Saccharomyces cerevisiae S288C: one gene and its partners. Changing the gene in region 1 together with any one later gene gives a genetic interaction. Each region holds a gene or a part of one and is shown in the gene's direction. Other genes may lie near its edges.

The links.
Region 2: mutations in LIP2 (region 1) and UBC8 together harm fitness more than expected from each alone (negative genetic interaction), as found in Saccharomyces cerevisiae (2 studies listed by BioGRID).
Region 3: mutations in LIP2 (region 1) and CIT1 together harm fitness less than expected from each alone (positive genetic interaction), as found in Saccharomyces cerevisiae (2 studies listed by BioGRID).

What each region holds. Positions count from the first base shown.
Region 1 is NC_001144.5:615,671-619,011, reverse strand, and holds LIP2 (lipoyl(octanoyl) transferase LIP2), read left to right. Parts: upstream 1-1,693; coding exon 1,694-2,680; downstream 2,681-3,341. Other genes in the region: phosphatidylinositol 3-kinase VPS34, read right to left, coding at 1-1,479; FAR10 (Far10p), read right to left, coding at 2,821-3,341. UniProt on the Saccharomyces cerevisiae protein: Catalyzes the transfer of endogenously produced octanoic acid from octanoyl-acyl-carrier-protein onto the lipoyl domains of lipoate-dependent enzymes. Lipoyl-ACP can also act as a substrate although octanoyl-ACP is likely to be the physiological substrate.
Region 2 is NC_001137.3:129,720-133,068, forward strand, and holds UBC8 (E2 ubiquitin-conjugating protein UBC8), read left to right. Parts: upstream 1-2,052; coding exon 2,053-2,057; intron 2,058-2,180; coding exon 2,181-2,832; downstream 2,833-3,349. Other genes in the region: protein anchor VAC8, read left to right, coding at 1-842. UniProt on the Saccharomyces cerevisiae protein: Catalyzes the covalent attachment of ubiquitin to other proteins. Required for the adaptation to the presence of glucose in the growth medium; mediates the degradation of enzymes involved in gluconeogenesis when cells are shifted to glucose-containing medium.
Region 3 is NC_001146.8:629,121-632,836, reverse strand, and holds CIT1 (citrate (Si)-synthase CIT1), read left to right. Parts: upstream 1-1,775; coding exon 1,776-3,215; downstream 3,216-3,716. UniProt on the Saccharomyces cerevisiae protein: Specific citrate synthase with catalytic activity only with acetyl-CoA.

The sequences.
Region 1 (3,341 bases):
CCTTGGGTTGACCAGTGCTCTCCTAATCAAAAACTCAGCCAAGGGAGAAATGACGATTGGTAGCGATTCTGTCCCGGAAGTTTCCGATTCACTCGAGATGGACTTTAATAATTTTTGGTTGGCATGCGATGTAGATAGTAACATAGAATCACCCGAAAGCTTTTGCGAAGATACGGCATCCACAATAGTGAATTCACTGTTAGATTTGTCGGAAAAAGTGGACAGGTTCTCAAAACAGACAGCTTCTACCAACTGTAATAAGTACAATTCCAGCTCCTTGTCTGATGCCTTCTTCAGCCTATTTACGGCGTACGATCTCACTGAAAGGTTTTTAAAAGTTGAGCCTAATAGTTCTAATGCGTCGTCTATATCAATTTCTGCCCATGAGTCCATTAGTTCTAAAACCTCTACTCTTTCCGATTCTTCTCTCAAATTTGTACTCTGTAATAACTTTGTAAGAGCTTTTTTATTGTTCATCAAATAATACCTATATTTCCATATTGAACCCTTTTCATGTGCTGTTAATTTAGTGCCAGGGGGGTAGTTGATGATTTTATTCAAGTAGTCCCTCTTTTTAATGTCCGGCTTCACTTGCTTGTCCAAGTTTGCATTTTTAGATGCTCTTTCCAATCTCCTATACTTTTCCTCTATTGGATCATTGTTTGGTTGGTCAGGATCGTAAAACTTCAATGTGGAGTGATATTTGTCCCCCAAAGAAATTTTGATTTGAGGATCATTCCTATTCGGTTCTCGTAAGTCTGTGCTTAGTCCAGGATTGTTCTTCAAAGTTGGAATATTCATTTGAGTATTCATAATTTCCCTTTCGATGAACACAACAGGAAGCTCTAACATTGGAAATTCTAAGTTTAAGACAAAGGTGCCCTGAGGCCAAGTCCTATTTTCCCGTTGTTTCCTTAATTTGCTTATAGTGATTTCGTCAAGCCAAGGGAGTCTCGTGAATTCACCCTGAAAATATTTATTCAAATTTTCTTGATCTTTGTTATCAGTGACCACTTCACAGTGGTCAATCACATCATAACGAAATTTTAAGGATTCAAACCCTCTTTTTAAAGTACAGTCTTTTAAGTTAAAGATGCTCGTTTCTAGATTGAAAAAGGGAATTTGCTTGGATCCATTGTATTCCCACAAAATAATGCGTAAATGACTGCTAAAGGTAAGCTGTTTGATACGTATGGGCAAAGTCAACCAATAATCCCAGGTTCTAGAGTTTCTGAAAGGAATATACGGCGTGTATATCGGAAGAGTTAAATTTCTGTTTCTCTCTTTATCAAATACCTGTAAGGATACAATTAGATCACTAGAAGGGAATACATTTGACCCTATCAGCATTAATTCAGGGTTCAGGATTTTTTGAGATGGCTTCAACAGTGGCTTATGTCCTTCCAATGACTTGATTTTCACTTTCAGGGGAACATCCAGATCCTGTGAGACACAGAATGTTATGTTGTTCAGTGACATTGTTGGAGTTAAACCCTTCCCTCAATGCTTCACGGAGATGTTATTGTTGTTTTACTTTATCCTTTAATCCTTTTGACTCAAACTTTCTTGAAAAAGTGTTTGATGCCGGATCTGCATATACCGAATGAAGGACTATGTCCACTTATTTAAAACGTTCATATAAAAATTTCATGCACAAAGTCACAATTTAAGATTTGTCGAAAGCTTCAGCCCCATGTCGAGGTGTATTCGCCAGTCCGTATGCACAAACTTCAATGTCTGTAGGCGACAATGCTTTAGCACTTATGCCTCTGCTCTCAAGGAAATGACACATCCTATAAAACCCTCAGCGCAAACGCTCAGACATCTACAATTCACTCAAAGAATACCTTTTCAAAAAGGATTGGAAATACAGGAGACATTAGTTAGGGCAAATTTGGACATCAAAGACATTCAATCGAAGATTGAGAGAAAATTAATACAATTGGATGAAGAATATAAGGGCACTGCAACAATAAATGATAACGAAAAAAGAATATTAGACAAGGTTATGGCAATGAAACCTAATCCGATAATATTAACGTTTGAGTTTGAGCCAACTTATACAGGTGGGAAGAGGATTAAGAAAACTATGACGCCAGATCAGATAGCGGCTTATGAAAGTTTCATTCCAGAAACGCAAAAGGACAACCCACGACCAAAGTTTGTTCAAGTGGAAAGGGGTGGACAAGTAACATTTCATGGTCCAGGCCAAATTGTTATTTACATTATTTTAGATTTGAAAACATTTCAAAGTTTCCCTGCTAAATGCTTGGTTTCATGCATTGAGCAGGCCACTATCAGAACGTTGAAGAATACCAAGATGTGCGACGACACTGACAAGCCTTTGAACTTAGATGCTATGACTACAAAGGACACTGGAGTTTGGGTTGAAAATGGCAAGAAGAAAGTTGCTAGTGTTGGAATACACGTCAGACGTTCCATAACATCGCACGGGGTAGCAATTAATGTTAATACAGATCTATCGTATATGAATAGTTTTGAAATGTGCGGTTTGAAAAATACACTGACTACTTCAATTATGGAACAACGACCCGATGCTGTTGTAAATGTGCAAAGTGTAGCAATTAGTTTTGTCAAAGAAATGACAAAGCTGCTAGGAATAAAAACTTTGGAAAGAATGCAAATTGACGACGTCAATATTTTGAAAAAGAATCCGTGAGACGGATGACTCCCCCCATACTTTCTTAAATGAAAGGATGCTTACCTTTTTTTACATGTGAATATCTATTACATATATACGTACGTATATAATAATCTCTGACGTGAAAAGCGGATCGTGTGTGTCTTGTATTTACGATGCTAGTTGGGGGAAAGGATCTTGAAGACAATAGCTATAATCCCGATGGAAATAGTTCCAAATGTTAATAGTGTGAAATGATTACATAGCGTGTTCTTGATGCTAAATTTGTCAGTACCCTTAGGATTCATGCCCGGGACGCCTCTAGTGTCATGTTCGGTAGTCTTTTTTTTAGATGCAGTTGAGAGTTCTTGTTCTTTCTGTTTGTTCTTCTTCATCATTTGTGAATTCTTATATCGTTCCACTTCTAACCTAGTTTTCAAGTCTTCTATTTCCCTTTCCATGCTTTTTTGCTTTTCATTATTTCTTCTTTTCTTCACTTCAAATGACTTTTTGAAAAACATATGGTCCCTTTCCAACTGTTTTACTTGATTTCTGTTTTGTTCGATAATCTTTTCGTATTTCCCCGACAGTTTCCTTCTTAATCCATTTTGCAGCTTTACCAGTTGCTGATCATTTTTTTCCACTAAAAGTTTGTTCGTGTATTCTAGATGTGTCGTATAATTAATTAAGAAATTCTCCA
Region 2 (3,349 bases), on another chromosome or scaffold:
AGTTGATTCAAAGTGATTCTATACCACTGGTTTTGGCTAGTGTGGCATGCATTAGAAACATTTCTATTCACCCTCTAAATGAAGGTTTAATTGTTGATGCAGGTTTCTTAAAACCATTAGTAAGATTGTTGGACTATAAGGATTCAGAAGAAATTCAATGTCACGCCGTATCTACTTTGAGAAATTTGGCTGCATCATCTGAAAAAAACAGAAAAGAGTTCTTCGAAAGTGGTGCTGTCGAAAAATGTAAGGAACTGGCTCTAGATTCACCTGTTAGTGTTCAAAGTGAAATTTCCGCATGTTTTGCTATTTTAGCCCTAGCAGATGTCTCCAAATTGGATCTACTGGAAGCAAATATCTTAGATGCTTTAATCCCTATGACTTTTTCCCAGAACCAAGAAGTTTCTGGTAATGCTGCTGCTGCTTTGGCAAATCTATGTTCAAGAGTGAATAATTATACAAAAATTATTGAAGCATGGGATCGTCCGAATGAAGGCATTCGTGGATTTCTGATTAGATTTTTGAAAAGTGACTATGCTACCTTTGAACACATTGCGCTATGGACAATTTTACAATTGCTAGAAAGTCATAATGATAAAGTGGAAGATTTGGTTAAAAATGATGACGACATCATTAACGGAGTGAGAAAAATGGCAGATGTGACCTTTGAGCGTTTACAAAGATCAGGAATTGATGTTAAAAATCCGGGGAGCAACAACAATCCAAGCTCGAATGATAACAACAGTAATAACAATGACACAGGATCTGAACATCAACCTGTAGAGGATGCAAGTTTGGAATTGTATAATATTACTCAACAGATTTTACAATTTTTACATTGATTTTCTTCAAAAGCGGGACTAGGCATTATAATTTTTATCAAAATTTTCTTCTCAGAAGTTTTATTTTCTTTCTCTCCATTTCTTCCATCTTTTTAATCTTTGTTTCCTTTTTTTACATCATATTACTTCTACCTACTCTACTCTATTCTAATTTCAATTGATTTTTTTTATTTTATTTTTTTTTTTGTTAATAAAAGAAGAAAAAACTTAAAAACGAATAAGAGGCTGTCTTTGTTCCGTAGTATATGCCTATTTCCTTCTAGAAGTTTGAAGTGTCGTAAATTTTACCTACGGATAATGTTCGTTACATTGTTGAATGGCAACTGTAGTGAGGTAATGTTCAAAAAGTGAGAAAGCGGGAGAGAAGGGCTACATACAAAAACCAATTCTAGATAACATCTATATCTTCGTTTTTAGAATATATTGTAATAAAACACAATTGATAATACAGTTCTCTCTTCGTCCTCTGATGGTGGGAGATCTATTAAAAATACAAGTTAGCTGAGCGGGGGAAAAAAATAGGTCTTACCCGGATTCGAACCGGGGTTGTTCGGATCAAAACCGAAAGTGATAACCACTACACTATAAAACCTCTTAATTATTGATTTCCACAATAATTTTATCATATATCAACACTATTCTTCACATAGTTTTTTTAATCCCGGTGTCTCTCATCTGCTAATGAAAATACGTTCACTCATATTTCATGCACCTTCCAGTAGACTGACCCTTCATAAGGTTAAGAATATCATGGGGAAATTATCGCAATGCATGTCTCTTAAAGAATACAAGAATATATAAAGGCGAATCAACGATTCTTCACGATAATTTGTTTTCCTCTTAATCACACAGCAGTCTGAATTCTATCAGTGGCACATTAATCCTTGTTTCAATGCTCGTGTGCACATCTGCGTAAATATACATTCTTACGTTTTCTTATTTAATAATAGTAGGTTGAGCTTCGTCCACCGGGTAATGCTCCCGGAGCAGTGGAATTAAAAAAAAAAAGGGTGAGCACCGGAAACAGCTATCTGCGCTTAAGTATCACTAACGTAAAGCATAGGTAGGATTTCCAGTTCTGCCACATTTGATAAATAGTGTAATCCGTAATTATCAAGCGAGATAGTTTTCGAATATAATTTAGAAGTAAGAGCAAAATATTAATAGTATTTCATAAGGAATATTGGAAGAAAGGAGCGTAATACGAAAGATGAGGTATGTTTGATAAGATATATACGTATATTTATATATCACTCTTCTGAGAAAGTATGCCATAGAATGAGGATCACTAACAAAGAAAATGTCAATGAACTTCAAAGATATCGTTTAATGAAACAGTAGCTCTAAAAGAAGGATCGAGACAGATGTTATGAAACTGTTGATGAGTGATCATCAAGTGGATTTAATCAATGATAGCATGCAAGAGTTTCATGTAAAGTTCTTGGGACCAAAGGATACACCCTACGAAAATGGGGTTTGGAGGTTACATGTAGAGTTGCCGGATAATTACCCATACAAGTCGCCAAGCATAGGGTTCGTTAACAAGATATTCCATCCTAACATTGATATCGCATCGGGGTCCATATGTTTGGACGTAATTAACTCTACATGGTCGCCTTTATATGATCTGATAAATATAGTGGAGTGGATGATACCAGGTTTATTAAAGGAGCCTAATGGTAGCGATCCCTTGAATAACGAAGCTGCCACATTGCAATTACGAGATAAAAAACTGTATGAGGAAAAAATCAAAGAGTATATAGACAAGTATGCTACAAAGGAAAAGTACCAACAAATGTTTGGCGGAGATAATGATAGCGATGACAGTGATAGCGGCGGTGATTTACAAGAAGAGGACAGTGATTCTGATGAAGATATGGATGGCACTGGTGTTTCCAGTGGCGATGATAGCGTAGATGAGTTAAGCGAGGATCTAAGTGACATAGATGTCAGTGATGACGATGACTACGACGAAGTCGCAAATCAATAATTTCGAGCACACACATATATATATATATATATATATGTATGTATGTATAAGTATATATGATGGCATACTATACCACACGTACGACTATAATTACAAACAACTATCAAGCAACTACAAGGATCTCTGTGGGCTAGTGGCCTGCGGGCTCAATTTTGCTCTTGTTCCTGAACGGTGAATTCTGTAGTCTGTCATCCAGGGGAAGGGCAGGGCACTCATCAACAATGTGATAGTCAGAAAGCAATAATGTTTTGTATTCTGATGAGCTTTCACTATCTCTTCCGCAATACCCCTTTTTGCCTATATTACGGCATCATCTTTCCCCGCGTTCTCGTGGGGGCCAAATAAGCTTTGTCCAAGGGGCTGTTGCAACGGTAAAGGTAGTCGAGCCAAGTGACACCAGCAAACAAGGAAACAAGGAAGCAAGGAAGGCTTTCCATTTTCCAATAACGACATGAGTCTATCTATGGTGTATAAAAGTGGCAGGCTTTTCCTACATTTTTTTTCCCTGATAACTTCC
Region 3 (3,716 bases), on another chromosome or scaffold:
GTATAGGAGCACGGTTTACCCCTTTTGCTATTGACACATGTAATATCGCATAAAAAAGAAACCGCACTTCATAGTGCATAAGCAGTACAGAAATGATATCACATGTAAGTGATAGCGATTTGACTGTTTGCTACCGACAAGACTATCTGAAATAAGAAAAAAAACGACCCCAGTGAGGGTTGAACTCACGATCTTGCGATTAACAGTCGCACGCCTTAACCAACTTGGCCATGGAGTCACTTTAAATTCTGCAGAACGTGAAAGGTTCGATTTCCATGATCTACACGATTTTAATCATCTGTAAGCCTTGCCATGAAGCTAAATTGGTGAATTTTTAAGAATTGTTTTGTTGGAACGAGAGTAATTAATAGTGACATGAGTTGCTATGGTAACAATCTAATGCTTACATCGTATATTAATGTACACCTCGTATACGTTTAAGTGTGATTGCGCCTATTGCAGAAGGAATGTTAAACGAGAAGCTCAGACAATACTGAAGCTGTGTTAAAGACCTATTAGTTGAACATGTTATGGTAGGTACATATATGAGGAATATGAGTCGTCACATCAATGTTTAGTAACTACCGGAATCACTATTATATTGGTCATGATTAATATGACCAATCAGCGTGTGTTTTATATACATCTCTTATTTAGTATAAGAAGATCAGTACTTATTTCTTCATTAATACTAATTTTTAACCTCTAATTATCAACAGAGGAATATGAGGATTCCTAGATCCTCGAGGAGAACTTCTAGTATATTCTGTATACCTAATATTATAGCCTTTTTCAACAATGGAATCCCAACAATTATCTCAAAAATCACCTAAGCCTCACATGCATGTTTTACGTTGTGGTTGATGATCTATTGATGTTGAGGTACCATATTTTGAAATTCATTAAAACAACTTCTACCGGGCGTGTGGTCTAGAGGTATGATTCTCGCTTAGGGTGCGGGAGGTCCCGGGTTCGAGTCCCGGCTCGCCCCCATTGATTTATTTTTATCAAATTTTTTAATATTGCATATCTTTAGTGGGCAAAAAATTTTTCCCTGGGCAAAAATATAAGAGAGCTCATCTTATTGTTGTCAGCCCAATGATTCCCTTGTCAAATTGAATTTTCGGATTTACTTGTTCAGGTACCCGCGTTAAGGGGCTGCCGCGCCTGTCACTCTAAGAAAAAAGGAGCCATCAAAAACCATTCAGCATTAACTAAAAACGCGGGTAGAGATTACTACATATTCCAACAAGACCTTCGCAGGAAAGTATACCTAAACTAATTAAAGAAATCTCCGAAGTTCGCATTTCATTGAACGGCTCAATTAATCTTTGTAAATATGAGCGTTTTTACGTTCACATTGCCTTTTTTTTTATGTATTTACCTTGCATTTTTGTGCTAAAAGGCGTCACGTTTTTTTCCGCCGCAGCCGCCCGGAAATGAAAAGTATGACCCCCGCTAGACCAAAAATACTTTTGTGTTATTGGAGGATCGCAATCCCTTTGGAGCTTTTCCGATACTATCGACTTATCCGACCTCTTGTTGTTTGAAAATGTCAATTGATATCCATCCATTATATAAATGCTCAAAACTTGCAGCAACTATTCTTTACCCTTCCCCTGTTATGGATTGCTAGTCTTAAGGGGGAAATTTGCTGTTTACTAAAATACAAACCAGGTTTGTTTTGGCTTTTATTTGCATTTAAGTAATTACAATTACAACCATTAAAAAGAAAATAAGGCAAAACATATAGCAATATAATACTATTTACGAAGATGTCAGCGATATTATCAACAACTAGCAAAAGTTTCTTATCAAGGGGCTCCACAAGACAATGTCAAAATATGCAAAAGGCTCTTTTTGCACTATTGAATGCTCGCCACTATAGTAGCGCCTCCGAACAAACGTTGAAGGAGAGATTTGCTGAAATTATCCCAGCAAAGGCAGAAGAAATTAAAAAATTCAAGAAAGAACACGGTAAAACCGTTATTGGTGAAGTTCTTTTGGAGCAAGCTTATGGTGGTATGAGAGGTATTAAAGGCCTTGTTTGGGAAGGTTCCGTGTTAGACCCCGAAGAAGGTATTAGATTTAGGGGTCGTACTATTCCAGAAATTCAAAGGGAACTACCAAAGGCTGAGGGTAGTACAGAACCTTTGCCAGAAGCTTTATTTTGGTTGCTTTTGACTGGTGAAATACCTACTGACGCTCAAGTTAAAGCCCTTTCTGCTGATTTAGCTGCCAGATCAGAAATTCCAGAGCACGTTATCCAACTTTTAGATAGCCTCCCAAAAGATCTACATCCAATGGCGCAATTTTCTATTGCCGTGACTGCTTTAGAAAGCGAGTCTAAGTTTGCCAAAGCATATGCTCAAGGTGTATCCAAGAAAGAATATTGGAGCTATACATTTGAAGATTCGTTAGATCTGCTGGGTAAATTACCTGTTATTGCTTCCAAAATTTATCGTAATGTGTTCAAGGATGGTAAAATTACTTCAACCGATCCTAATGCTGACTATGGTAAAAATTTGGCCCAACTTTTGGGCTACGAAAACAAGGATTTTATTGACTTAATGAGACTATATTTAACTATTCATTCTGATCATGAAGGTGGTAACGTTTCTGCCCATACTACACATTTAGTGGGTTCTGCCTTATCTTCGCCATACTTATCTTTGGCCGCTGGTTTGAATGGTTTAGCTGGCCCATTACATGGTCGTGCCAATCAAGAAGTTTTAGAATGGCTATTTAAATTGAGAGAAGAAGTGAAAGGTGACTATTCAAAAGAAACAATTGAAAAGTACTTGTGGGATACTTTGAACGCAGGGAGAGTTGTTCCTGGTTATGGCCATGCGGTTTTGAGAAAAACTGATCCTCGTTATACGGCTCAACGTGAATTCGCATTGAAACATTTCCCAGATTACGAGTTATTTAAGTTGGTCTCCACCATTTATGAAGTTGCCCCAGGGGTTTTAACTAAGCATGGTAAAACTAAGAACCCATGGCCAAATGTTGATTCACATTCCGGTGTTTTATTGCAATACTATGGTCTAACTGAGGCTTCGTTCTACACTGTATTGTTTGGTGTTGCCAGAGCTATTGGTGTGTTACCCCAATTAATCATCGATAGGGCTGTTGGTGCTCCAATCGAAAGGCCAAAATCATTCTCCACCGAAAAATACAAGGAGTTGGTAAAGAAAATCGAAAGTAAGAACTAAGGAAAATTTGATTTTTGATTCAGGGTATGCGACTATTCAAACACGTATTTTCATATACGAATGAGTAGTTTATAATTTATATAAATATATATTACATAAGGAAATGGCTATGACTTCATGATTTTTACGCTTTGAGTCCCCTATGCCTACCGGTTATGTTATATACTTGGCAAATGATATCAATGAATAGAAAACAAAATGCTCTTAAATTCCTGCAAAGCGCTTTCAAATCGAATTGTGGTGGGCTGGCGCGCTGATTTAGCAGTAAAATCTAGCCTGTAGTCGATATACTACGTCAAGGTGTAACTAACGTTTATATGTATATGAACCTGCAGAAGAAGCAAAATGACAAGGTTAATGCATCTTTATCTGTCCTAGAGTAGAAGATACACTAAAAAGTTGATAAAGCGAATATAATATGGTCATGTGAAAAAAGCAATCTCATAAAATTTTCTCTTTTTCCTTTTTTTCTTCTGTTCTTACCTCAAGATAAATGTCACT